7 linked regions of the Nothobranchius furzeri genome follow. The protein of the gene in region 1 purifies or fractionates together with the protein of each later gene. This does not show direct contact. Links are inferred from orthologs where the notes say so. Each region holds a gene or a part of one and is shown on either strand. Other genes may lie near its edges.

Region 1 (3,696 bases):
GCGGTTTGGTAAAGAACTTGGCTCTGATGACTCACATCACCACAGACATGGAGGACGGCCCCATTATAAAACTGGCCTTCAACCTTGGGGTGGAAGACGTCAACCTGCTGTGTGGGGAGGAGCTCTCCTATCCAAGCGTCTTCCTGGTTTTCCTCAACGGTACAACTCCCGCCCTCCAATGGAGCTGAATTATTAAGCAGAATTAAGACCTCCTGCTGTTGCTTCAGATCATTTTTTAAAAGAAATGCTAATTCTTCTCGTTTTAAACACGTTTTGCTTCATAAACATGAAGAAGAAAATACTCTGTTTAATTTAGCAGAGGAGCTGATAAGTTTTTAATTTCATAGCAGCAGTAGGTGTTATTCTCTAGTCAAAACTCGGACATTTAATTACAGTATTTGTTTGTCTTTGCACTGATAACTGTCACATTATATTAGTTGCCATGCTCTTTAATTAGTCATTAGCAGCAGGTGCCGGAGCCCTTCAGGGTGCGTTCAGAGGCAACGTGCACACTGAGGTAGACCTCTGTTCTCCACCCGATATGAACAAGCCTCCTGCAGGAGGTTTAAACTCCACTCTCGCAGCAGGGCTCAGGGTGCAAAACCACGGCTCACGCTTCAAGTTTGGAGTCAGAATTTTGTGCTTTTTTTGAGTGAAAGGCTTTAAATTTTCTGAATCTTTACGCACATTATTACTATACGTGAAAGGAGACAGAAATGCTTACTCAGAAATGTCGTTTGCCGAAACGTTAAAGACACTGTTAAAGCTCTGAGCCGCCTGTGCTCTGTTTGAACTACCGGAAGAGAGCAGCAGCCTTGAGTTCAAGCACATCTGTGATCAAACAGTTGAATCGAGCTCTACTGCACACATTACTGTTTGTTGTAAAACATCTGTATTACTGATGGAAACTCCTGAATCCAGTGTCTCACTGGGCGGAGACTGTTGCTGACTAGTTTGCAAGAATTCATGCAGGATTTGTGCTGGAATTGGGTTTTGCAAGAAGTTTCAAATATGGCCGCCAGGTCATGAGAGGTGTGTAAGCAACAGTTAAGCCAAATTTTCTTTTTGAAATTTAGTCGCGAAGTGTTTCAATCTCTGTGCAGTTTGCCGTCGTTTTACGTGCAGCTCGATGCTCCTGCTCCTCCTGAAGTCATCTCGCTCGAATCGAGAAGCCAAATGTCCCTGTCGTCCTGACCGTGAGGTCTCCAGGCTTTCTGAAGACCACGGCTTTTCTTTTATACTTTGACCGCTCTCTCATGTTTGTGTCCACAGGAAACATTCTGGGTGTGATCAGAGACCATTACAAGCTGGTCAACACTTTCAGACTCATGCGCCGGGCGGGTTTCATCAACGAGTTTGTGTCCATCTCCACCAACCTGACCGACCGCTGCGTCTACATCTCATCTGACGGAGGTAGACTCTGCAGGTGGGCAAGGCTGGAAGAAACAAATATCTATAAATCTTGTTTTATTTTGCGTTAAAGGCTTCAAATGACTTTTCGTTTCTCCTGCAGGCCGTACATCATCGTGAAGAAGGGCCAGACGATGGTGAATAATAAACACATTGAAGATCTGTCTCAAGGCTACAGGTGAGAGTTGAGGTAGCTTCTTGGTAAACGTCAGCATTTAATTTAGTTAGGCAACACCGGGCCTAATTAAAAAACAGATCTATTATAAGACCAGACATAACCCCTTCTAATCTCTCTAGATGCATAAATTAGATTTTAGTCCATTTTTATCCTTAAACAGCCTGTTTTGATCATTTCTTTGATCATTGTAATGATTTTTTTCTTTAACTTGTCTCCAGAACCTTTGAGGACTTCCTTCATGAAGGCCTGGTGGAGTACCTGGATGTGAACGAGGAGAACGACTGCCAAATTGCTCTGTATGAACATATGATCAACAAGTGAGTAGAAACGTGAAAGCGGACATTTTGAAGCGCGTCCCTCCTTGTTTGTCTCAATCCTGGCATGCTGCTTTTTAAACGCCCTTTTTGTAGAGACACGACCCACTTGGAGATCGAGCCCTTCACGCTGCTCGGAGTGTGTGCGGGCCTCATTCCCTACCCCCACCACAACCAGTCCCCCAGGAACACGTACCAGTGCGCTATGGGCAAGCAGGCCATGGGTAAGCCTGATCTGAGCAGGTAGTTTCACATCGTACACACAGCTGAGCCGCTCCCTTTGTACGCCCAAACACACACACACACACTTGCAGTATTCTAATCTTACATGAACACCGTTTTCAAGCCTCCTAAATCTGCAGAGTTTAAACTTTTTATTTGCATGAGTTAAAAAGGACATTAGAATAACAAACAGGGTGGATACAAGCAGCCCTGCTGGTTCTTCATGAACAAGCTCTGCGGCTGCACCACTTCTTGTCAGAATACATTTGGATGTGTGATTGAGTGTGTGTGTGTGTGTGTGTGTGTGTGTGTGTGTGTGTGTGTGTGTGTGTGTGTGTGTGTGTGTGTGTGTGTGTGTGTGTGTGTGTGTGTGTGTGTGTGTGTGTGTGTGTGTGTGTGCATGGACATCAAACATGGGGCGCTTGCGTAGGTTTTCCTTTGTGCCGTGTGTGCGGAGGCCCTTTCCCTGCCAGTCACCCAGAGTGTCATTAGCAATTCATTGTGTCTGCTCTGGCTGTGCTCGGGGGGTCAGTGTGCTCAGCTGCAGAAAGCCCACAGAGTGTGCACCCCAAGCTCCCTGGTAACCAAAACTTCCCCAAACAGCCCGGCTAGCATTCGTAAGAGCTACACGCGCACGCACACACACACACACACACACACACACACACACACACACACACACACACACACACACACACACACACACAGATTGGCTGCTGCTTCACCTCCATCCATCCGCTCCTGCCCTCCCCCCACCTTTACAAAAACACTGACTGGAACTATATTTGGACTAATATCCTCTGTCCTGTCTGTTTTGTGTGGGCAGCTCTTTACATGTGCAAATCTGGTTGTGTGGCCTGAGCCTATTATCAGCCACTGAGCTTGTAGCCTGATTGTGAGGTAATAGCATCTGACAAATGTCAGGGCTTCCAGGGAGGCCAGGCTTTATGTCATAACTCTCCTGGGTCTTCCCCAGAGCCCCTTTGAAATTAGATTAAATGGCCAAACTGGAAATTACTTATTGATAATGTTTCAGGCTGTTTTAATGATTTATTCCTCATCCACTTTTTGTTTTTTTGTTTGTTTGTTTTTAGGAACTATCGGCTACAACCAGAGGAACCGCATCGACACTCTGATGTACCTGCTGGTTTATCCTCAGAGGCCCATGGTTAAAACAAAAACCATCGAGCTGATTGACTTTGAGAAACTGCCTGCAGGTCAGAACGCCACCGTGGCCGTCATGAGCTACAGCGGCTACGACATTGAGGACGCTCTGGTCCTCAACAAGGCCTCGCTGGACAGAGGTGAGAGCCTTTCTGCGTTATTTAACCCCAACCACAGCAGAAGGCTCAACTTGCCTCTTTTCAGGGTTTGGTCGGTGCCTTGTCTACAAAAACGCTAAGTGCACCCTGCGTCGCTACACCAACCAGACCTTTGATAAAGTGATGGGACCCATGCTGGACGCTGCCACGCGTAAGCCCGTATGGAGACACAACATCCTGGATGCTGACGGTATCTGCTCCCCTGGTGAGTAACAGCCACAACGGATGTTTAGGTGACAGCACCAGCTCA
Region 2 (4,195 bases), on another chromosome or scaffold:
TTTGTTTGTCTCTGGACTTACTCTTCTTTAACCTTTCTGCCGATAATATTGGGTGTGAACGTTTTCTAAAAGTGGAAGAAAACAAAAACGTGTTAGGTTTTAGACAGTGTACAATAAAATCAGCTTCTGTTGCATCTTTAGTCATCACTTGTCCCTAGAAGCCACGAGTTTTTAACAAATGATTGGTTTTTTGTCTTGTCATTTTCGTATAGATTAATCTCAGTGATATAAATAAATAAATAAAAGACATAAATACTAAATTGAATGAACATTTTCCCCTTGATGCAAGTTGTTTGTTTTTAATAAACAGTTCAAACCCATAGAGTAAACAACCCGGTGTGTGAGCAAATGTCAAAGATGGAAGCAGCTCCCTTTTGGTAAACAGCTTGAGTAAACACTAAGCCAGTGTTGGGATCATAACTGATCCACAGCGTATTAATCGTCCTACGAGTATCAGGTAAGCTTTCTTTGTTCACATTATATTAGAAATAAAGAATTTTAAAGAGCATCATTATTTCTGATTATTATGGGTCACTGAATTTTTCATGCAGGCTGATCATGAAAAAGTCTTCTACACGATAGAAAATAGACAGTAAAACTCTAGGGTGTGAAAAGCCTGACAGATCTACGTCACACTGTCGCTTCACATTCATGGAGCTAGCCCCTATGTCCCAAGCCGTTGAGAACCTGCAGCTCCTGCCTGTGGACATGGAGAGCACGCTAAAGAGGATCAACCCCAACAAGGCCTCAGGACCAGGCAGGATCTCTGGTCATCTGCAGTCAGCTGGCGGGAGTTCTCTGCTTCCTGTTTAACTGCTCGCTAGCTGAGCACTCCATCCCCTCCATCTGGAAGTCCTCTATCATCTGCCCCGTGGCAAAGCAGAACAACCCAGGCATCAACAGCGACTTTGGACCTGTAGCTCTGACATCACTGATTGTGAAGACCTTTGAGAGGCTCGTAATGGCCCAGCTGCTGGTTGATGTGGGTGCATGTTTGGACCCAATGCAGTTTGCATACCAACCACACAGAGGGGTGGATGATGCTCTACTAACTATGCTGCATGAGACCCTCACCCACCTGGAACAGCCAAAGTCACATATCAACCTGGTCTTTGTGGATTTCTCTAGTGCATTCAACACAGTCCAGCCACATCTTATGGGATGTAAACTGCTGAACCTGAATGTTAACTCCCATCTCATCCTCTGGGTCCTCTCCTTTCTCACGAGGAGGGAGCAGAGGGTCAGGGTTAACGGCCATCACAGTACTGTCAGGTCACTCTCCACTGGTTCCCCACAAGGTTCAGTCATCTCTCCACTTCTGCTCATTTTATACACCAATGACTGCAGGAGCACAACCCCAGGAATCACTGTTATCCAATCTGAGGATAAATGTCCAAGTATCAGGAACTAAGACTCCAAAACCTGCTGTCTGAAGCGCAGCTGTGATGTGGGTAACTTCAGTTCCTGGTAATGGTGCACCAGTGTATTGTTTCCCCCTGACTTTCGACTTCCTACTATAAACCACTACAAATAACTATACTTTAATAAAAGACCTGGTGCAGTACCTTTTTTACTCCCCCCAGTGTGAGGTCTCTTGACCTCATGGAAGGGAGGCGACCTGGAGAGATTCCCGATGGTGGTCGGCGGCCCATCAGCAGTCCAACGTTACTGCTGCCTCCAGGAGTCGCCATTCGCTGATTACTGGTGTCACTTGAGTCAGCCATTTTGAACTAAATAAAGTAGGAGATACAAATCAACCTTTTTCACTTGGAATTATTTCTACTGGTATCTGTAGTCATCGTGGACACAACAAAGACTCTTTTTGTAGAAAATATCTAAAAATCACAGATATTTTTGTCTGCATTGGCACCTATTTCTAACGACATTCTGATGGATTTTGTAGCATTTAAAAGCAACATATGAATGCAGGTATTACATCTGGATGCACATCTACATCCACACTGGACTGTTGATGCTTTGCATCTGAGATCTACACATCCTTATCGTAAAAATATCTAATTACTATGTGCAGCCCTAAAATATTGTGTACTTTATATTATAATATTAAACATTGGGTTCAGACTGAAAACCAGTTCTCTCTTTTCTGGATTACAATGGGGATTATGCTAATTAAATGCATCTGTTTACATTCCTCTGTTGGTTTTACTGTTGATCTTATTGACGCTGTTTTAATCACGTTGCTTATATAGATGTTTTTTTAGCCATGGCCTGTGGCTTTTGTCTTTCAGCACCCCATCATTGGAAGCTGATGTGATATGAAGACATGCTAACGAATAGTGAAGGATTGATTTAACTTTATTGTTTAGCTGGGAACAAAAATTGTTTGCATTTATAAAAGTGGCACACAAGTACTTTCAACTTGTCGTTTTAGGCCTGTTTAGCTAAATATTTGGACACTACTAATGAAGGAGTTAACTAGTGCAGTGAAGTCATTTCAGCTGGGTCTCCAAATGACTTAACTTTCTTCACTTGCAGTCAGACTACTGGTTACCACTGAAAACTTTCCTACGGTTAAACTGGTTTTCGTTTCTCTTAATCTACCGTCCCACTACGAAAAAAATACTTAATTCCAGCTAGAAATGAACAAACCGCCAGCACGTGGACATAATGATACAGCACTAGTTCGCTAACCTTCATCATTAGAGAAGAAAAAGTGATATTTAAGCTTTTTCCAGATCCTTACCTGATTTCTTCTTCCGGGGTCTTTATTCTATGTTTATTCACGGTCTGCGAGTCATAATAAATGAACCTTAGCTAGTTGTGTTTCTGTTTCTGAGCCAGCTAGTTGTGTTTCTGTTTCTGAGCCACTGTGCTGCACGACGCCATGACACCTCTGCGTTGTTGTTCCGTTCGGAACGCGCATGCGCAGAATGAGGCGCATGGCCGCAGGCTGCAACGCGGGCGGGGCAACGCGTCTGGGTCACAGTAAAGGAAAGAATGAAAGGAGAAAGGACAGGCAGAAGAGAGAGCGTCAGTATGTCGCACAGTTATTCTCAAAGGAAGGTGGGTTTAGTTAGTGATTGGTTAAATTCAACCTGTTAGCTAGCTTTGATATCCACAATGAGAGGAACTATGTTTCATCTAATTATGGTAAATGGGTTGCTGTCCTTGTCCTTATAGAATCAGCAGCTGGTGATATGTCAGCAGGTGACTCCTCACAACCCAATGAACCTCACGAAGGTGAATGTAGCATGTTAGTTAGCAGCCTCATTTAAGGGGGTCTGTGGGAATCACTTAAGGCTCTCTTCTCTATCAGTACTATTACGAAGGAATATAAAAAGGCTATTTTTGGTGATAAACACATTGTTTTTCCACATAATGATAATTATATATATCAATCAGTAAAAATGTATAGATTGTTGTTGATGCTGGGCAGGTTGAAGCATTGTTATTTAGTCTGTTAATGTAACATAAATTACTGTGAGATTATTAATGTGAAGCACCTTTTTGAAGGCACCATACAAGAAAAAAAAACTCTTCATCTACTAAATACCTTGAAATGAAATGTTTTGAATCTGACTGAATTATGGGAGGTTTTACAAGATATAATTTGTTTATGTAGCTTTGAGAACACAAACCAAAAATCAGTCATTTCCAAATAAATCATCAGAGAACAAAAATGAAACAAAAGCTATTAATAATTGTAATAAATAAACGTAATATAACATTGAACACAATAAAATGACATCTAGTATTGATCGTTATCGAGCATTATTAATTATATCACTGTAAATAATAAATCTTGCTGTGTACAATCAAGGCTGAATATATTTTTAGCAGTTTTTTTGTTGAGAAAAATGGGTGTCTAGAGACTTATATAGGTTGTACCGTTATGAATCTTATAATGGTCTGCCTTAACAGCTGCCCCTTCACACAGTAACATCACCAAGGTCGGACGCTTGGTTCAGTATGTTTACATTCCAGGAGAAGAGACAGAAGAAGAGAAGAAGAACGCTTTTCATTGATTAATCAAAGTACTTTATTTGTGATAAGCTAATCAAAGCACTTTGTGTCTGAAATGCTTTTCAGCTCTCCTGCATGAAGTCCTGGTGAAACAGGAAATAATCCTTCAGCAGCAGCGCGGCCTCACCAAAATGGTGCAGGACCTTTTGTTGCTGTTGCTGCTCTTCAGGGCCTGACCACAGGGGGAAGTGTGGAGACCAGGCACCATGGC
Region 3 (3,873 bases), on another chromosome or scaffold:
ACAAGCAGGAGAAAATTACAACATGGCTCCAAAAGGTTTGTGTTTTATGTTCTGTCCATTTTAGAATCGCCAATACGGACCTGAAAAACAAAGGAGACCGCTAGCTAGGTGATAACTTCTCACGGGGCCGCACAGTTAGTAACTTTTTTTAAAAGTAAAGCAACCGGAAGGCAGTACGTTCTTTATTCTGAAAATCTCGGGAGCTTCTCTCCATTTCCGCGTCCGATTTCCTGTCTTTCCTTCCCCAAAAATGTCGAACTTGACCCGTTTCAGAGGCGTCGCGTGTAGAAAATAGAACCGGCGCGTAAAGGCCGCGACATGCTGCTCCTGAGAAGCGGCCGACTCGCGCTGCTGACGGCTCCGGTGGAAAAGGTTCTGTTGACCACAGCGGTTCCTATCAGCAGCTATGACGCGCTGCTGACGGCTCCTGTGGAAAGAAGGGGTGACATTTAATTTTCTAAATGAAACAACCGCAGCAACACATTTCTGTTTTAAACCAGAGATTTGTACATAAATCCATCACAGCAGCTTCTAGAAATGACTTTATTAACAATAAAACATTCATTTACACCGTCTCTTCCGAAAAACAAAACAAGCCGTTTAGACTCCTCACGGATGCATAAAAAGTATTTAACTAAAGGTTCTCGTCTCTCCTCCTCAAGTAGATGTTAAAATGGTGAAAAGAAATTAAAACAACATATTCATAAACGGATCCCAGCAGGCAAACGTACAACTCTGTAAAAGTTAGTGAGTCTCTAAAAGTCCAGAGATGATGATGTGTGATGCTGGTTAGGATGTTTAATCAGTTATGATGAGCTCATCACAGCCCCAGTCCTCGTAACTCCCATCAGGAAGGTACCTGCGGATGATGATGGGGATCTTTCTGCCCCTTTTGGAGAAAGAGAAGAAAAGATGAGTGAAGTAAAAAGTTGTTCGTTAAATAAAACCAAAGCCAAAAGTTGGTGCTTGTCAAAGTGACTTACTTAAGTTCTTTCATAGCGATCTGCAGAGGGTCAGTCTCTCCCTCCAGCTCCACCATGACAGGAGCACACATCCTGTTGGAATCAAGCCAGCACAGGAAAAACACTTTTATTCAGGCAGACTGATGCAACATGGGAATATGGGGTTTATAGTGGGCTAATTTCTCTAAAGCTGGGAAAAAAGTGACTCATTAGTTGCAGCCATCCAGCCAGCATTGGAAATTAAATACAAATAATTCTGCATGTAGATTCAAACGCTACTTTTAGCTTTAAAATGGGCTTTGGCATGCTTTTATTTTGAAAGCAGATGAGGCATTTACACAAGCAGCCGCCTGTTTCCAGGAATTTCTGCTGGTGGGAATTCAGAGAGCCCAAACTCAAGACAAAAACAGAATCAGGAGTTGATTTTACTGATTTACCTAAATAACCTTCTGTTGATACTAGGTGTTAATGCGCTATTTAGCATATTTAAGTTTTTACTTAACCCTCCCACTGTCTTCATGGGTGACCCCGCCAGGAAAGTTGACCACTGAGCAGGATGGATGGTTTATCCCTTGATGTCTACATGGCAGGGGTGAGGTGGTGCTCACTTCTCACCCCTGCCACATGGACCCAAGGGATAAACCATCATCCCTGCTCAATGGTCAACTTTCCTCGCGGGGTCACACCCATCAGGACAATGGGAGGGTTAAATGTCTTTTGGAAAAACGAAACTTTTACTGACATAAATCCCGAAATGAGCCCAGCTAATTTCACTGAACATCTCTAAATACTAAGTTTAGGGAGGAAACCTACTCTCAGTGAAAATGTGTTTAACGAGTTAAAGATCAAACACACTCAGCTTTAACCGTGATCTCATGTAAACACACTCACGCTATCTGCAAGGCTCTGGTCCCTAGCACTCTGGCCCGCTCGTATTTCGTCATATACGGTGTGGTGATCCTCTTCTGGTTGGCCTGCTGGCCTTCTCCTGCAGGTAGGATCTGCACATTCTCCTGATCCTCCTATTCACCAGAGCAAAACAAACAAGCTCAGACCAGGAGACAGCTTCATAAAAGTCTCAAGTGGTGATCCGTCTCTGTAATAACTCACATCTTCGACGTTCTCCAGGTCGTCTAGTCCTTCGTCCTCCTCTGCATAATCAAAATCTCCATCATCGAAGCTACGGAGTTAAAACCTTTGATCAGATATCTTAAACTTTAGGTGATTCATAACTTTTAACAAGCTTTATTGAAAAAGTACAAAAGTACGTAAACTTGGATGGGAGACTGAATAAAACAGGACGTAAGCAGCAATACACAGAATAGGCAAGGATCATAATAAACAATACCGTGTGATGCTAATCGAGTTAGCATCCCCGTTAGCTTACGTCGATTATACAAAATGACGCAGATTATTTAAACGATTTCTTTACTTACTTGTCTTCGTTGTCCGACATGATAAATTTTTAGAGTAGTATATATCCGTGTAAAATATTTTAACGTTTCTAGGCTACACTTTTGTAACCAACACGAATCCACATGAACGTTGCACTGGCTGGTACGCTACTAAACATTCCGGTCGGCCAAAAGAACCTCGTTAGAGTTCCCTTTCCGGTCTGTCTTTTTTTTTTTTTTTTTTTTTTTTTGATGTTTCAGAAGCATCAACAAGGTTTACCGTTGCAACACTGCCACCTTCTGGAGTTAAGTCATTTTCCATTTAGTTTGATCTGTAAATTCTACCAACTGTAGGTTAAATAAAGGCTGAATAATCCCCATTCTCTCTCTCTCCTCACTTTCTTTAATGAATTGTTATAATCAAGTGCTAAAGATTTAAGGAATTTGACACGTAAAAAAATATTATTTATATGTGCAATTAATCAAATTAATGCCAAATTATTTCACGAATAAATCATTACATACATAAATTGTTAAATGGGCCATGGATGAAAATTTTTAATTATTTTGTTTTAAATCCTAAAATGCACACCGACTCCTCCAAATCCAAGGCCTGTTTATTGACTAGAGAAGACTGGGGCTGAATCCAGCGATGAATTAATGAGAATTCTTCCGGTCGCTTCCCAGGAGAAGTGTTCCAGGCATGTCTTGCCTGTAGGAGGCCCCCAGCTCGATCCAGGACATGTTGGAGGAATCATCATGTCTACTGGCCAGGGATTTCCATGGGGTTCTACCGGTGGACCTGACTGAGATCCTGGAGAGAGGACCATTTCGACTTCACTGCCAGCTCCGCCATGTAATAATTACTAAAATTGTACAGTTTAATGATTATCTGTAATTTTTACATCAAATAAATGTTTTTATTTATAGCACATTCATTAAAATCATATATACATAATTATTTCATATTTCAACCAACTAATGACACATTCAATTAATGATATAAATTTTTTATGTACTTTTGGCCCTCTATTTGGTTGTATGTCATGGCTAACGAACGTGGTCTTAAGCTTATTATCTGCACAAACAACATAAATCATCTCACGTAGAGCTAACGTGTCTGTCAGAACGTCACCCAAACATTCATGACGCGCCTATTTTAAAAGGTGACACACCACAAGGCTGCCACCTGATGGTCACTGTGGTACACTGCAATTTCCCTCATTTAACAGGGCCGGTTTCCACCAAAGTGAAATAAATAAATAAATAAATAAATAAATAAATAAATACATACATACAAAGGACCAGCTTTTTAGAATCAGAATCAGAAGGTTTTATTGCCATATGTGTGCCAAGTCACAACATTAGGAAATTGCTGCGGTATTTGGTGCAGAAGGTAAGATAGAAAGAAAAATTTAAGAGATACGCAAATATAGGAAGTAATAAAACACTCATGATAAAATTATTAATGTAAAAAGTGGCAAGAATTAGAGAAGCAGCGATCTACCCCGTGCAGG
Region 4 (3,696 bases), on another chromosome or scaffold:
GAGACATCTCATGGGGCTTAAAGGAGATGTACAGTTGGATGTCACCTGCATAAAGATGGTAGGAGATTCCTTTGAAGAAGCTCAGGATGTGCTGAAGAGGAAGCAGATAGAGGAGGAAGAGCAGAGGCCCCAGCACAGAACCTTGTGGGACACCATATATATATATATCCAGTTCTTATTCCACCACAAGGTGTGCACCAGCACCAGAGTGTGGACACGAAAAAGATGATGAGTATTAAACTACTCTAGGGGGGTCCGGGGGCATGCCACCCCCCCCCCCCCCCTCACCACCACCACCCCTGGTAGAAAATTTTGAGCATTTTATTTTTAAAAGCATCAGTCTGGTGCATTTTGAGAAAAAAGGTAGAGTTACAGGCTGGTGAGGATGTATGATAAAGTATCTACACATGTTTACAGCATTATAATATTATATTTGATTGCGTTTATATCCTATCCTGTCTTTAATCCATTTTGAACACCGACTACAGCTAAATCCTCTTATGCATCCATGCTGCTCAGTACCAGAACTGCACTGATGTCACTAGTTACTAAAGAACCAATCAGCTGGCAGAGCTGCTGTTGAACACGTGAGCATACAGAAGTTGCAAAACTATGTGACTCAATGTAAGGAACAAAGTAGAATCCAGCTGCTGTTGTTTATTTGTCGTTTATGTTTATAGAAACTAAATCTATCTGCAGGGCTTTAGGCCCAGGGCAGTTTTAGACCTCAGACTGAACCACATCCAGACCTGTTATTAAAAATATTGTGTATTCTTTACACCAATCAGAAAATTCAGTGATGTCCACAAACATCCAAACCTTAGAAATGAAATGAAATCAATATTAAAATTTAAAATGATTAACATTGTTTCGTCATTATAGATCAGTTATCTGTGAACGTTTTTATACTTGATATTGTCCAGCTGAAGCAGACATCTGCTTATTTCTAATAGAGCTGAGCTGTGGGAGAAAATATTCAGGCTTATTTAATCGTATTTTCCACCTGTGGATTTAATGCATTCACTTAATATTAATTATAAAGTTGTAAAAAAACAGGTCATTAGAGTCTGGGCATAGAACGTGTTTCTAGGAACAGAAGCTTGTTGGGTTACGGTTAGCAGCAGCTCACCTGTTCCTGACAGGAGAAATCCTCTCATCAGCAGCAGGTGATCTACAGAGTAACAACGGCCCGAAAAAAAAATAATAAAATAAATGAAAAAAAATATAAAAATAATAATGCACCAAACTCAAAAAGGGCCACCGGGAATTTCCCTAACTTAGATCTGTGGCTCCTATTCTACCAAAACCAGAGCGCCCCGCGGGAGCGAGATTGTAATGAGCGCGAGTGTTTTTACCGCTTGGTAAACGTGGTGCAGTGGTGGGGAAACGCGTTTCAACAGCGGAACCGACTGGAATGCTGACGTAACACCGGGGGAGGGGGGAAGAGCTAACACAGCCCGAGAAACACAGAGGGACCGGACTGGAAGTAACGCTTTTTGAGCTAAACTGCAGGAAATGTGTGGGTGTTACCTCTGCTAGTAAGATTCTTCTGAAGGCGTTGGCAATGGACGCATCAATCCCTACCATGTCAAACTCCATACTGCTTTCGTCCAGATGCACTATGTCAATTCTGAAGTTCTGCAAAAGCAAAAGAGGAAACACGTGTACAGAGCTCAGCATAAATGAATACACCTTGAAAATGTATAAATTTAGTCAGCAGCTCAATGAACAAAAGAACAATTTCCAGAAATTTCACAAGGCTTGTTTAACTCCATAACATGAAATTAAGGTTAACAATATAACTGAGATCACAAAATCTTCAGTTTTACTAACATTGGTTGAAGCAAAAATGAATACACCCCACAACAAAACCTACTACATCTAGTATTTTGTATGACCACTGTGATTTTCAAGGACAGCACCAAGCCTTCTAGGTATGGAATTAACAAGTTGACTACTTATTGCAACATCTATCCTTTCAATTCTTCAAGAAGAACCTCTTTTAGAGCCTGGATGCTGGATGGAGAGTGATGCCCAACTTGCTGCTTCAGAATTCCCCACCGGTGTTGGATTGGGTTCAGATCAGGAGACATACTTGGCCATTCAATCACCTTCACCCTGCTGTTCTTCAGGAACGCAACAGTAGCTTTAGATGTGTGTTTTGGATCATTGCCGTGTTGGAAAAGTGCACGATGACCACGTGCGTGGAGTGATGGCAGCATCTTCTCATTTGGTATTGAGTGGTAAATTGTTGAGTTCATGATAGCATCAATGAAATGCAGCTCCCCAACACCAGCAGCACTCATGCAGCCTACATAAGGACACAGCCACCACTGTGTTTCACTGTAGGCACCATGCATTTCTCTTTGAAACCCTCAGCTATACGACGCCATTGTAGGGTTTGGTAAATTGAGTGCTTTAAGAGCTCAATATTTATTTTATCTCTACTTATGACCAATAAGCTGTAATACTCTATCTAAATATAGAATATCAATCCTGCTTGGTCTTTGTGTATTCATCAGAAGATTCTAGGATTCTTTATCTATTAAGGGATTGTACACACTTCGTTTTGATTCAGAAAAGAGTCAGGTTTATAAAAGTAAGAATTTATTTTACAAACAATTAAAACATGACAAGTTAACTAACATTTTACTGTGATGGATGAAACCTGGGTGTGAATGCGACGTTATCAGACCTTCTCTGTCTAGGAGAGCTGACTTCTGGATGTAAAATAATTTGGTTTGCGTTAAGCTATGAAGCTGATTATTATCAAAAGCACATCAGTTGCTATCTGTGTCTACTTCACCCATTCTGGAGACCCTCTTGGTGGATCCGAAGGTCAGAGAGGTCGGATGACCTCTGGCACCGAAGGGCTGTAGAATACCGTGGCACCGACTCTTCAGTCCAGAGATGTCTCGGGTCACAACAGATGGATGGAACCACGCGTCTGGGACTCTTTAAGGAGTCTAAACAATATCAGCTCATTCTGCAGGAACTGTTTGCTTCATCAGCTTTGCAGGTGCAAAAAGGTTTTGACGACGTGTCAAAAGCTTTGATGGGTTAAAGAGGGTCTTGCTTCAGATGGCCGGTCTGAAGCTTTCTCTAGAACTGAGGAATAACCAGAGTAATCTGGTTTTAATGTTCTCCTGTTATGATTTGTGTAGCCAACCAGAGGTTGACAAGTTTGAGGAATATTACCAAGAGTCTCAGAAACATGTCTTCTTTGATACCGGACGCTCTGATCTGGAGTAAAGGGCTATTTATGACTCATGAGTTTAACTTAACCTTACTTTGTTCTGGTGTGAGTGCAAGTGGTGATGACCTTGTCATATAAAACATGCTGAAACATATTTCAATCACTGTAATCATAACATAACGTTCATTTCAAACTTCAATCATTGAGCACAGATTAATGAAAACATTTCATTACATTATAATTGTTATAAGTAGCAATAAACAAACGTTTATTTAATGATTATCTAGCTTATAAGTTTTAGAAGTTCATATTTAATTTAGGAAATCATTCTTTGATTTAGCAACTAATCCGGGCTGCAAGTTTTAGGCATGAAGAATCCTGTAGGACAGTGGTTCCCAAACTTATTTAGCCGCGCACCCCCTTCTATGTGCCGACCATGTCGACGCCCCCCCCCCCCCCACACACACACACACACACACACACACATCACGGCATGGCTA
Region 5 (3,696 bases), on another chromosome or scaffold:
AACTAGAAATTCATGAAAATTTTATAGAAATAAAAGAATCTTGTTTATTGGGTCTTTGAAAATTTAAGACCTCTGGAAAATGTATTTAAGTATTATTTGTAATTTTTAAGGCCTTAAATTTGGAAAAGCTAATTTAAGACCTGCGGATACCCTGGACGAGTATGGCAGAAAGCCCCGTTGACTTACATCGGTAGCGGCGAGTGCGTCATGTTGTTTGATATCCAATAGCATGCAGAGACAGTCTGGAAGAAAACCGTAGACCCAGGCCCACTACTGAGAGCCGTCAACGGGCCGTGTCCAGACTATATATTCACCTATAGAGGATGGCTTCCCAGGCTAGGGTTTCTCATAACCAGATGTTTAACCTATTCACTGCCAATGACGAGTAAATTCGTCATTTGCATGTTTTTACTGTGTGGGCATCGGACGAGCCCCCACACCGTGAGAACAAACACCTCAGCTCTAAAGCGGATCTTCATCCGTATACGTCACACGTCACGTGATCAGGAAGCAGAACATCCATGTGTTAGATCGTTTTGGGCCGCTGCTGTAAAAAAAAAAGTGAGGCGCGAACCGGAAAAGCTTCTGCCGATCACAATTCAACAACAGATAATGAAAGAACGGATAACGCTCGAAACGCGCGGATTCTTCCTGATGTAAGAGGTGAGTCTCCGCTTTGTTTTGGTTGTTTTGGCGTCAACGTCATCCTAGCGCGCAACGTTCTGTGGCTTAAAAAAAACTGTAAAAACGGTGAGAAACGCTGGCAGCGAATGAGTTAAAGCTCCCATTTACTTAAAAGACAAATAAAATATCAAAATCTAATTCAGTCAAAATACTGAAAACATGAACTGAGCACCAGAAAGAGTTTACAAATACCCTGAAATGGTGACTGCTCCCACAGTTTAATCATCTTTACGAGAGCTGATTTTTAATTTGTCTGTATGATTCTTACAATCAGAGTGTACGGTGCCTCCTTCTTCCCCTCGCTGGCCTCTGCTGGCGGCGCCGTTGCCTGCCCCGCTTGTGCCGGCGCGTCAGACGCAGCTACAGCAGGGCCTGTTGGTGACGTGTCCACGAAGACTTGATCCGCCACCCGGAAGCGGATCTCCTCCCCTTGGTCCATGTAGAGGTCGTGCCCTCCCTCATCCGTCTCGTACTCCCAGACCCAGACCTGCTCCGCTTCATCACTGGAGTTACGGCTAAGGAAGGCTCAACCAACCCCAGATCCATAAGACTCCAGTCACACACTCAGCAAATGCAGTAAAAACAAAACCACTGTGCTTCTAACTCTGGATACAACTTTGCAGGCTGCTGGAGAGACTCAGGAGGGATGAGAATATCATCAAAGAAGCCCATGGTCACTGTGAAGCAGCAGAGTGAGAAGCTCCTGTTGAAATCTGGTACACAGCTGTTAAAGCGTTTACTGTTAAAGGATATTTTGTCATTCTTGCATCAGACATGAAAGAAACAGCGTACCTGGAAAGCAGAGGATAACAGTAAAATAACATATAATTGCAGCAATGACTAAAATTCCATATATATAAGGGATGTGTATTGGTGAAATTTTGGCAATACGACAAGTATCACGATATAGGGGAGACAATACAACATATCACGATACATTGCCATACAATACGATATCAGCAATTTTTTTAGACAGAATTTTTTGTAGGAATATTGAATAAACAGTCCAAACTAGGGCTGGGCGATGCGACCTAAAATCAGTGTCACAATATATTGAGAATTTCACCTCGATAACGATAAATTGGCGATAACTACAGGTATGCGCAGAAACAAAAGTTGTCCACTAGATGGGGCTGTCACACGTATTACTTGAGTCACATTTTTACGTGACTCAAGGTGGTACAGCTTCTTAAAGGGATGTGAACGTTACCAACCTACACATCTTTTCATTTCTTTATTATCGAATTTATTGACACGGGAAAAATGATCACGATAAGAGTCAGAAATTTTGATAATGATAAATTTTCGATTTATTGCCCAGCCCTAGTCCAAACTGATACTTAACATTTTTAATGCGAGGTATCTGAACCATAACAGAGGGATTTATATTTCAGTGGTGGAAACAAAACACATTGCACACTGCTGCCAACTAGCGGTCTGCGTTTAAATTGCACCAAAAGAAAAGAAAATACACAAATATTTGCATGTAAATTCTTCCAAAAATTTGATACATGGATTTTGAATATTAATATAAAATCACAGGATAAAATATCACAAAATATTACCATATCGATATTTTCGATATACATCTTTTGAATATCAATACAATATCACGATATATTGCCATATCGATATTTTCTTACATCCTTTAATGTGTGTATATATATATATATATATATATATGTATATATATATATATATATATATATATATATATATATATATATATATACACTATATATATATATATTTTTTTAATTTGTATGATAAATGATAAAATCATCTAGGTGTAGAAATTCCATCATGGCTATTTTTCAAGTGCTTCCATAATTTTCTTTTTTATATTCCTGCAAATGTGTTCATATTAAACACACACATCTATGTTAAAGTATCACAATATTAAAGGTGGAATATTTTGCAAAACTCACATTTTGCATCTTTTTTTTTTTTTTTTTGCTGCCATGTGGGTCTCTACTAGGGATGTCCCGATCCGATCACATGATCGGAAATCGGCCCCGATCACGTGGTTTCAGACTGATCAGGACTCGGGCTTTACTTCCCGATCCAAGCCCCGATCCGGAGTTGGATACTGGCTTCAAATTACAGGAGAGCAACTTGGTTCTCCTTAATGGTTGTCAGGCTCACCTGATGCCCTTAACTCACACACCCAGAAGGAGCACAAAAGAGATCCAGTTTGTACCTATATTATATTATTTACATGGACTCAGAGTAGCGGGGATTCTTTTGGGGCAGAGATGCAGAGCGGCAGGCAGACCGCTGATTATTTATGGACTCCAGGTGTGTTCTGCACACGGCCACAGTAACATTTTCTAAGTTTCTAAAGGGCCTCACCAAAAAATATATAATTAACACACAGTCGTTTGTGTCCGTTCATTTTCTCTCTGGTAAGTTCTGTCTGTATTTGAGCATGATGTGTGGACGCGCTCGCGCCGCAGCGCTCGTCACTGGCGCAGCCGTGCAGCGCGGCGCTCACTCCGCTTTTTTTGTGGTCAATAGATCAATTTGATCTGCTAGTTAAAAAGTTACTTGTGAGGTGAAAAAGAAGGAAGCAGGGAGGAGTTTGTCTGGAGGACTGGATCCACCCCTCACATGCAAGAAATAGTTGCTGCTGAAGGAGCAGCGGCTCTCACCCTGGATTCTCATGTCAGTTCTCTTGTTCGCTCTTTCTTCGTCCATCTCAGGAACATTGCTAAGCTGAGTCCCATTCTGTCCCGCTCTGAACTTGAGACAGTTCTCCACACCTTCATCTCCTCACGCTTAGACTACTGTAACTCTCTTTTCACGTGTCTGAGCAGAACCTCCCTGAACCGTCTACAGGTGGTTCAGAATGCCTGTGCTCGGCTTCTGACCAAGTCCTCCAAACACACCCACATCACCCCGCTTCTCCTCCAGCTTCACTGGCTGCCAGTCAACTTCAGGGTTCATTTCAAGATCCTGGTTCTGGTCTATAGGGCCTTACATGGACAAGCACCATCTTACATTGGTGATCTT
Region 6 (4,336 bases), on another chromosome or scaffold:
AATTAATCTCACTAATGCATGTATTAGTGAGATTTGGTTTCATTCATAAAAATATTGTTTTTTAGGGCTGGAGCCCGTTTACTGTTGATTATTGATTTTTTTTATCCAGTTTTGATGACTGACAGTTCTCTCTAAACACACAGAAACAACATAAAACATTTTAGTCATCCAGGAGAATGAATAAGCGTTTTGTAGGCACGTTCAACTCTTTTTTTTTTTTTATTCACTCGTATTTTTAGTCCTGAAGAGGAAGCCTGACCTGATCCAGTTTACTGGCCACGGCACTGATGATCACCTGGTCTCTGAAGTGCTGATGAAACCGCGTAAAGTTCACCTGCCAGTAGATCCCCTCGTCACCATGAGTCTGCACAAAAACACCAACCGTGTGTGATGATGATAAAAGCAGAAACAGAGAAATGTTGGAATGAATAAATAGGTGAAAAAAGAGAGTTGTTCCCGACTTCTGGCTCCATTTTGGCTCTTTTTGCGCTCCTTTGCTCTTCTCCCTCCTCGGTGGCGAGCTGGCGCTTTCCCCGCCCGACGAGGGTCACATGAGGCACCTTATAGCACTCGGAGAAGCTCTCTGGGTTGGGCAGGGTGGAGCTGGAGGCGGCTGCAGTGGGATTGGGGCCGGCTTGAGTGCTGCTGGCTGTCATTCCTGCTCCGTCCAACGGAGGGCAGCGCTGCAGGAAATGCGTCTCCACCAGTTTAGAAAAGACAGACGACACTTCGCTGTAATCAACGCTCTGCCCATCTGTAAGAACAACATAGACACTTGATGTCACGTAATATAAATCCTACTGAAACCTGAAAAACATTCAAAATCAAATCCAGATTTTTGTCTTTTTAAAATCAGACGCTGACCCTCCATGTTCTGACTGAGGCGGTCAGCGACTGTCTTGACCGTGCCGCTCATCGTCATGTGACCCCTCTGAAGCAGCTCCTCAACGATCAGCTCTCCGGTGTCACCGTACAAGGTTTTAGAGGTGTAGATGTAACGTGGGTATCGCAGAATCCTCAGAATGCAATCGCAGCTTGCCTGATACTCTGGGGGGCTGCCGGGTCCCTTTCGACCAGAGATGAACGAACACGCTCCGTGATGCATAAGCACGCATAAAGACTTCTTTACCTTTAAAAACAAAGGCAAAAGCAGCATCTGTACTGTGTGATTAAAAATCATTTATAGTGTAAAACTGTCCAATAAATCAACTCTACTTATCTAAAATACATCACCACCAACAATTAGCTGCTAAGCAAATATATTCTCAGTATTAACCAGCAGAAAGAAGCTTGTCATTTGTACCAGGTCCGCTGAGACTCCAGTTTCATGAACAATGGCTCGTAAATGTTGGCCACCACTTCTGAGCAGGTGTGTTCCCACTTTCTCCACCACCTCCCCGAAATGCTCTCGCATCAGAAGACCACACAGTCGTACCTCCTGGGCTGTCATCTGCAAAAACATACAATATAAATAAGATCCACAAGTAAACGGGTCAGGGATGAGGTCCTGCCCCAAGTGGAGGAATTTAAGTATCTCGGGGTCTTGTTCACGAGTGAGGGAAAGCTGGAGCGTGAGATCGATAGGCAGATTGGTGCTGCGTCTGCAGTGATGCGGGCGTTGTACCGGTCTGTCGTGGTGAAGAGAGAGCTGAGTCGGAAGGCGAAGTTCTCGATTTACCGGTCGATCTACGTTCCTACCCTCACCTATGGTCATGAGCTTTGGGTAGTGACCGAAAGAACGAGATCACGGATACAAGCGGCCGAAATGAGTTTTCTCCAAAGAGTGGCTGGGCTCTCCCTTAGAGATAGGGTGAGAAGCTCGGTCATCCGGGAGGGGCTCGGAGTAGACCCGCTGTTCCTCCACATCGAGAGGAGCCAGTTGAGGTGGCTTGGGCATCTGGTCAGGATGCCTCCTGGACGCCTCCCTGGTGAGGTTTCCCGGGCACGTCCAACTGGGAGGAGGCCTAAAGGTAGACCCAGGACACGGTGGAGGGACTATGTCTCTCACCTGGCCAGGGAACGCCTTGGGATTCCCCCGGAGGAGCTGGCCCAAGTGGCTGGGGAGAGGGAAGTTTGGACCTCTCGACTTAGGCTACAGCCCCAGCCACCCGACTCCAGATAAGCGGATGAAAATGGATGGATGGAAGTAAACTGGTTTTATTTATGTTACAGGTTTTGTAGAAGAATTCCTGTATTTTATTGTAGATGAAGCAAAACAGTAAATTAGATGACATCACCTATATCACGATAATAAAACCCACGGAAGCAGCACCAGATTAGCAGAACATTTTATAAAAGATGCTTTTCATGAAACAGATTGAAAACAAAATAATCAGTGTAATATGAACCAACAGTTGATCAAAATAAACAAACTAATTAAATGACAAAATGACTGTACCAAGTTGTGAGGAAAGTACTGAATATTGTGTATGTGGTTGGCTTAAATAGGTAAATTAGTATGATTTATTATCAACATCTTAACAGAAATTAACCTATTGCAAGAATAAAGTCATTTTATTGTATTTTATAAATTATATTTACTTTTTTGACAGGACACTAAAACACTAGTACACTTAAAGCATCACAAATCAATCACTAGCATCTTTAAACTGTGATGTTTCGGTTAAAAAAACACTAAAGCACCATAAAACAAAAGACAACATGTAAACTTCATCTAATATTAAATGTTAATTATGTTTTAAGCGTCTCTGATTAATGTCCACACCAGTGAAGCTAAAGTTGTATTAAGTGGATTAGCTTACAAGCTACTAGCGGCTAGCTCACCTGAAAGTAAAGAATTAGGAAAAATAAATACACGTAACTTATTTTTTTCACGAACCTTTTATTGCAGATGGGTTTCGGAGCAAACGTAGCTGTTGCCTTCATGCATCGACTTTTTACACATGCGTCTCTTCCATCACAACACACAGACACTTCCGGTAAAAAAGACACTTCCGCTCTCTGGGTCTTCCCTCCAGGATTTGGCTGCAGTGCAGCGCCCCCTGTCGAGCTGGAGATCGTTTGGTTCAGGCAAGTTGTTGTAGCATATAATTAACCACATCCCATTTTTTTCATTTGGAATTTAAATAAAAAAAAATTTGTTCATGAATTGCATTTTTAGTTATCAGAATAAACAACTGAAATTTCAAGCGCTCGACGTGTTAATAAGTTAGACAAAAAGTAAGAGGTACACAATCACACTGGGTGAAGTCAGTATTCATCAGTAAACATCTGCAGTTCCTTCCATGTATTTCAAAAGGTATATTTCACCTATTCAAAATCAACATTTCAAGAATCTCAAATACCTTTCCCAAATGTTAGGACAAACAAATTCCCATAGAAATTTAGTTTCCGGTTTAAAAAATCTAAACGTACTTTGCTGTCGAACAACTTTTGTTAGAATAATAATTTGTTTCTCAAAACTGGAATTCCCACTAGAGAACAATGTGCAGATTTCAAGGTCTTGAATACCGTGGTAACTCTGAAATATTTTAAATTTTCATATGATTTACTGCTATCATAAAGACGTTTTTATTATTAAACGTTTTAAAACAACTTATAATCATTTTGGAGGATATGAAAATGCATATGATAAATATCAGAATTATCACTTATTATATGATGAACCGGCTTGCCATAAAGTGTCTTTTGGTTGTAAAGGACCAACGTCACTAGTTGTGCTGCTTGGGGAAGATGGCGGAGGCCGCGCCTGTTCCCCCGCATCGGTTTTTCTGTCACTGTTGTAAGGGAGAAGTAAATCCTAAACTCCCGGTAAGTCCGGTGTTTTTGGTTAGTCATGTGTGATATATTCCACATCGTGCGCGACTGACAACACCGCTGCTCGACCAATAGCAGTTAGTTTCGCCTGTCTGCTACAGCTAAACCGCCGCTAGCTTGTTAACAGCTAGCAACGGTTGTTGCTGTTAACTCTCTGAATTAAACGGTGCCTAATTTGTTTTTACTTGAGGTAAACGCTGGGTTATAAACTTGACACTGTCAAGTTTTGTTCTATTCGTGTGTCTACGCGTAATTGTGTCAAAACTCAGGGCCCGAAGCTTCAGGTTTCCCACTGTGAATGTGTTGTGAGCGTATTTTCCACCGAACAAGACCTGAACACGGATTGTCTGGACCATTAAAGCCAAGACGACATATTTAAAACTCAGCTGAGAGACAGTGGACTAGTTTTGTTTTCAGTGTTTGTTTCTGGTCAAATATACTGTTGGAATGACGAGTTCGGGGATTTTTCATGGACTTAATGTTTAGTTTCATTTGTGAAGTCAAAGCAGCACTAGGTGCACTTTGTGACCTACACACTAGCCCTAATGAATACTTGGTA
Region 7 (4,221 bases), on another chromosome or scaffold:
ACCCGCTAAACGTCTCAGCGTTCCTCAGGAACATTCCGACAAATTCCTTTCAAAAGTTTATATTTGGTTTTGAGAGACAAATAAACCATAACACCGGGAAAAGATCTTAAAAATAACAAAAAAAGTTCACTTTAAATCTAAATCAGCTTGTTCAAAAAGACAAATAACACTTTTTAGGTCTAAAAATATTATTTATTATAAGAAGAATGTGTGAATGATTTTATTCATCAGGAAATGAAATGTTGGCAAATAAACAACCAACAACTTTTACCCATTTAAGCCTAAAATATATGATATTATTTTATTACAATAAATCCCAGAAAGAACTAAAGTAGAACTACATCCAATAAAAAATATACACAAAAACTAAAGTTTGACATAAATAAAACAAATCCAAACTAAAAACCTCATTATTAATAAAATATGAATGAAAAAATGAAAATACATGAACTTCAGTTTAGTATTTTAATCAGGAAAGACTCATGACTGCTGTGATGTTCTTCAAACATCTGAGGAGACCTTCGTCCTGCTGTCCACAAAGCTCCTCCCAGGAAGAGGAGTTTCCTCCTCCCCCGGAGGTCCAGCCCCAGCAGCACCTGCTGCCCAGAACCAGGAAAAGTCTAGAAGACGTCTCTTCTTTGGCTCTCGGGAAGGTCGGTGAGTCCCTGCAGCTCCCGCAAACCCTGAAGGCAGAGGAAGAAGATAGCAGCCAATCAGACACCTCATCTGGAGGATCAGGGTTCTCCGTGGTTCCACGATGAACACATCTGATTTTAGAGGAGAACGTCCCTCTCCATCAGCACCAACTCACCTCGACGCTACCGGACCGGCTCTACTTCAGATCTTACCGAGTCTCTGACTCGCTTTGACTTATAGAAGATCAAACACTCAGCAGAAAAACTCAAATCAAATATTAAAGAGCTTCAGATCATAGACATAATAACTGACCTCAAGGACCATGCGGATGTTGGCTTTTATTTTGGCGGCGTCTTTAGTGAGTTGCTCTGTGAAGCTGCAAAACAAGCGTTAGCATGGTTAGCATCTTTGGTTCCGAACATTGAGCTAACACAGCACTCGTTCAAACTCCCTCAACTTTATTTAGAACTAGATCTCAGCTCGACAAAAATGAGACGTGTGACAAAAAGTTTGTGTTGTCACGGCAACACAGAGCTCACACTGTCAGCTGACTCGTCTTCTTGGTGATGAACTGCAGAGCTTCATCGTGGGTCATTTCCACGAAGAACCCGAAACCGACCGCCACGAAGATCCTGGACGAGTCGTCTCTGTCCAAAGGAGGGGAACAACGGGTCAGAACCGGGACCAAACACAACCAAACTGCTCAGAACCAGAACCAAACATCTAAAAGAGGTTAAATGTCTGTGGAGGGAGGAGCTGGACACTCTAGAGAGACAGACACTCACACTTGAGCCTGAACATAGAAGCTGCAGCCCAGATCGACGTCTGTCTTCAGCTGCTGGGACTCCGCCTCCTGCAAGAACACGGAGTGACATAACCGCAACGTCATCATCATGATATAAACATATATAAATATATACACACACACAAAATTCTATCACAAACAAACAGGCGTTTCTGATTGACAGCACGAGGCCTAAAGAGCTCAGGTTACTGGTCTGTTGTTGGATCGGGCCTGAACAGAACTCCTGATCCAGAACACACAGCTCCGCTGGATTTTCATCAGCAGTTAAAAGGTTTCCAGAGATTAAAACATGGCGGATGTTAGCTGAAAATATTTCAAACAACTGAAAAAAATCCTAGAGGAGGCCCTATGATCCTCCCAGAGTGATGCCTCCCTCCTTAAAATCTCTCTCTCTCTCTCTCTCTCACACACACACACACACATACACACACACACACACACGCACGCACGCACACACACACACACACACACACACACACACTACCTGCAGACTCTGGATCGTGTTCTTCAGCTGCAGGTACTGGGAGATCTTCTCATAAACCTGGTCTCTCTGCTCCAACACCTTCCTGTCAAACAGAACACCTTCATCAGTGTGTGTGTGTGTGTGTGTGTGTGTGTGTGTGTGTGAGGTGTCAAAATAGAGTATTTGAAATGAGTTTGCAATCATTTTCTGACTGTTCTATTGGATAAGAACCACACCAGGGATCCGTGGTTCTCCAGGACCCACTCTCTGGTTCTCCTTCACTGGATCTTTTTGGTTGGTTCTGATTCCACAGACCAGAACATCATCCGACTCTGTGGACTCACCACCGCAGTTTGACTTTTGTTCTGGTCGCTCAGATGAAGCGTCAACTTCTCTAGCCGGATAGACCCCGCCCTCTGGGGGGCTGCCATGGTAACCAGGTACCAGTCACTGGTCATAGTGATTGTCACAAATGTGTTTAATACAACTTTATGATTTACGTTTAAAGAACTTAACCTGTACTATAATGATCGTGTCTGTAGAGACATAAACATCGCATCAAAACTTAACCGGAAACTGCTTAGATTCATCAGAACCCAGCACCAACTTTTATTTACCTGCTTCAAGCTAGAGCTACCAACCCTGCCCTAACTAAACCAGGATCTGTGAAACTACTCAGAATTCAAAACCAAACAGAGGAGCAGAGCTGAGAAACTAAATCAACTATACGAGTTAAATCGTACCGTAAATCTCTCTTCAGAACCTCGTTGATGAACGTTTCGTACTGCAGAACCTTCCGGTCCACGTTTTCAGCGACAGGTTCCTCCATGCAGCTTTTCAGATTAATAACAACAATAATAACTTCATGCGGATTAATTCAGTTCAGATGAATTTCTGCTCAATGTAAATTAACCGTTTCGGACACAAAAACGTGCCGTTAGCACAGCTAGCATGCCAAGCTAGCATGTAAATAATTCTTTACACCGGAACTAAATCATTGAGTGCCCCCAAATTTTCAAAATAAAGCATGTAGACATAAAACAGATAGATGCATTAGACGAAGACGCTCCAGACTGATTATATATATATATATATATATATATATATATATATATATATATATATATCAAGACTCAAGACAACTTTATTAGTCCCCGAGGGGCAATTCGAGACAGCATTGTGAAGCAGCCGGCACTAAAATCTCTAAATTCTAAAAACACATCCAAATTACACATTTGTAAAACCCATAAAACCTATATACACATTCATGTCATAACCCCATACATATATATTTATATATATATATATATATATATATATATAATTTATTTATTTAATTTTCACTTCTGACTGACATGTGAGTCTTTTCTAGCTGATTTGGATCTGTGTCGTGACTTCCGTTGTCACGTGACCGTAGCTAACGCAGCTCTTGTCTGAAACAAAACGTTTTCAAACGTTTCAGGCCCGAAAACCGGATCTCCTCGCCGCGCTTTCAGGCTTGAACGACTATCAGGAAACATTTCTGCTCGAATTGAAATTATTTCGACGGTTTCATTAAGCCATAGGAGCTAACTTAGCTTAGTGGTGACGTTACCATGGCAACACGAGTTAGCATCCTCTGTAAAATTCGGATCCAATTGAAATCGAGCTGATTTATGTATAATCTCAGAACCCGAATAAAACTTACGACCTTTATTTCAGTTATCGTTCCGTAATATTTCAGAAACGTTGGTGTTTTATTGAACTGAAACGCGCAAAATCGTAAACGGCGTCTTTTGTACACGGAGCTTTGTTTCCGGTCTGAATTCTGGCTCCTGTCGGTCAGCTGGAGGAGGTAAAAGAAGCTCTGGGAGGTGTTTTCTTTCTCAAAAAGAGGTCACCTATATCTTATTTAGTTTAATGTTACAGCTTGAAGTTTTAATGTGGAATCAGATGAAAAATTGGTCTTCCTGCAGAAATCAGCAGACCGGATCAGGTTCTTGTCCCAGACATGGAGCAGTACAGCATCCAGGGTCGGATCGGAGAAGGAGCTCACGGCATTGTGTTCAAGGCCAAACACATTGAGGTACCGATAGCAAAAGATCCAGCCTCTGGGTCTGGTTCCAGGTGCAGAGCAGTTCCTCCTCAGAATGTTCGTCTTGTGCCTTTTCTCTCAGACAGGAGAGACGGTGGCTCTGAAGAAAGTGGCTCTGAGGAGGCTGGAAGACGGCATCCCGAACCAGGCTCTGAGGGAGATCAAGGCCCTGCAGGAGATTGAGGACAACCAGTATGTGAGTGTCCCTCCAGCTGCTTCTGCCCAGTTCAGAGGACAGCGAGG

The links.
Region 2: the proteins of polr3b (region 1) and polr3d purify together in Homo sapiens (affinity purification with mass spectrometry; 8 studies listed by BioGRID and IntAct, counting the BioPlex papers as one, with this or other methods). This does not show direct contact. The link is inferred for Nothobranchius furzeri from reciprocal best matches to the Homo sapiens genes POLR3B and POLR3D.
Region 3: the proteins of polr3b (region 1) and polr2f purify together in Homo sapiens (affinity purification with mass spectrometry; 5 studies listed by BioGRID and IntAct, with this or other methods). This does not show direct contact. The link is inferred for Nothobranchius furzeri from reciprocal best matches to the Homo sapiens genes POLR3B and POLR2F.
Region 4: the proteins of polr3b (region 1) and polr1c purify together in Homo sapiens (affinity purification with mass spectrometry; 7 studies listed by BioGRID and IntAct, counting the BioPlex papers as one, with this or other methods). This does not show direct contact. The link is inferred for Nothobranchius furzeri from reciprocal best matches to the Homo sapiens genes POLR3B and POLR1C.
Region 5: the proteins of polr3b (region 1) and polr3h purify together in Homo sapiens (affinity purification with mass spectrometry; 8 studies listed by BioGRID and IntAct, with this or other methods). This does not show direct contact. The link is inferred for Nothobranchius furzeri from reciprocal best matches to the Homo sapiens genes POLR3B and POLR3H.
Region 6: the proteins of polr3b (region 1) and polr3c fractionate together in Homo sapiens (co-fractionation; 4 studies listed by BioGRID and IntAct, with this or other methods). This does not show direct contact. The link is inferred for Nothobranchius furzeri from reciprocal best matches to the Homo sapiens genes POLR3B and POLR3C.
Region 7: the proteins of polr3b (region 1) and uxt purify together in Homo sapiens (affinity purification with mass spectrometry; 3 studies listed by BioGRID and IntAct, counting the BioPlex papers as one, with this or other methods). This does not show direct contact. The link is inferred for Nothobranchius furzeri from reciprocal best matches to the Homo sapiens genes POLR3B and UXT.

What each region holds. Positions count from the first base shown.
Region 1 is NC_091744.1:73,552,082-73,555,777, reverse strand, and holds part of polr3b (DNA-directed RNA polymerase III subunit RPC2), read left to right. Parts: coding exon 1-159; intron 160-1,272; coding exon 1,273-1,426; intron 1,427-1,513; coding exon 1,514-1,588; intron 1,589-1,806; coding exon 1,807-1,905; intron 1,906-1,998; coding exon 1,999-2,126; intron 2,127-3,218; coding exon 3,219-3,428; intron 3,429-3,492; coding exon 3,493-3,651; intron 3,652-3,696. UniProt on the Homo sapiens protein: Catalytic core component of RNA polymerase III (Pol III), a DNA-dependent RNA polymerase which synthesizes small non-coding RNAs using the four ribonucleoside triphosphates as substrates.
Region 2 is NC_091757.1:39,754,541-39,758,735, reverse strand, and holds the start of polr3d (DNA-directed RNA polymerase III subunit RPC4), read right to left. Parts: upstream 2,861-4,195; 5' UTR 2,705-2,860; intron 1,731-2,704; 5' UTR 1,725-1,730; coding exon 1,566-1,724; intron 66-1,565; coding exon 22-65; intron 1-21. UniProt on the Homo sapiens protein: DNA-dependent RNA polymerase catalyzes the transcription of DNA into RNA using the four ribonucleoside triphosphates as substrates.
Region 3 is NC_091752.1:66,414,067-66,417,939, forward strand, and holds polr2f (DNA-directed RNA polymerases I, II, and III subunit RPABC2), read right to left. Parts: upstream 2,555-3,873; 5' UTR 2,419-2,554; coding exon 2,399-2,418; intron 2,143-2,398; coding exon 2,073-2,142; intron 1,985-2,072; coding exon 1,854-1,984; intron 1,056-1,853; coding exon 984-1,055; intron 890-983; coding exon 799-889; 3' UTR 530-798; downstream 1-529. UniProt on the Homo sapiens protein: DNA-dependent RNA polymerase catalyzes the transcription of DNA into RNA using the four ribonucleoside triphosphates as substrates.
Region 4 is NC_091752.1:59,331,641-59,335,336, reverse strand, and holds part of polr1c (DNA-directed RNA polymerases I and III subunit RPAC1), read right to left. Parts: intron 1,639-3,696; coding exon 1,531-1,638; intron 1-1,530. UniProt on the Homo sapiens protein: DNA-dependent RNA polymerase catalyzes the transcription of DNA into RNA using the four ribonucleoside triphosphates as substrates.
Region 5 is NC_091752.1:65,981,084-65,984,779, reverse strand, and holds part of polr3h (DNA-directed RNA polymerase III subunit RPC8), read right to left. Parts: intron 1,362-3,696; coding exon 1,298-1,361; intron 1,188-1,297; coding exon 953-1,187; intron 1-952.
Region 6 is NC_091745.1:77,810,889-77,815,224, forward strand, and holds the start of polr3c (DNA-directed RNA polymerase III subunit RPC3), read right to left. Parts: upstream 2,968-4,336; 5' UTR 2,840-2,967; intron 1,451-2,839; coding exon 1,304-1,450; intron 1,130-1,303; coding exon 865-1,129; intron 755-864; coding exon 462-754; intron 365-461; coding exon 260-364; intron 1-259. Other genes in the region: rnf115a (E3 ubiquitin-protein ligase RNF115), read left to right, coding at 3,694-3,771. UniProt on the Homo sapiens protein: DNA-dependent RNA polymerase catalyzes the transcription of DNA into RNA using the four ribonucleoside triphosphates as substrates.
Region 7 is NC_091755.1:47,134,821-47,139,041, reverse strand, and holds uxt (protein UXT), read right to left. Parts: upstream 2,912-4,221; 5' UTR 2,734-2,911; coding exon 2,648-2,733; intron 2,345-2,647; exon of another isoform or gene 2,322-2,344; intron 2,008-2,321; coding exon 1,926-2,007; intron 1,490-1,925; coding exon 1,422-1,489; intron 1,284-1,421; coding exon 1,176-1,283; intron 1,013-1,175; coding exon 949-1,012; intron 684-948; coding exon 621-683; 3' UTR 452-620; downstream 1-451. Other genes in the region: cdk20 (cyclin-dependent kinase 20), read left to right, coding at 3,895-3,969, 4,061-4,174. UniProt on the Homo sapiens protein: Involved in gene transcription regulation. Acts in concert with the corepressor URI1 to regulate androgen receptor AR-mediated transcription. Together with URI1, associates with chromatin to the NKX3-1 promoter region.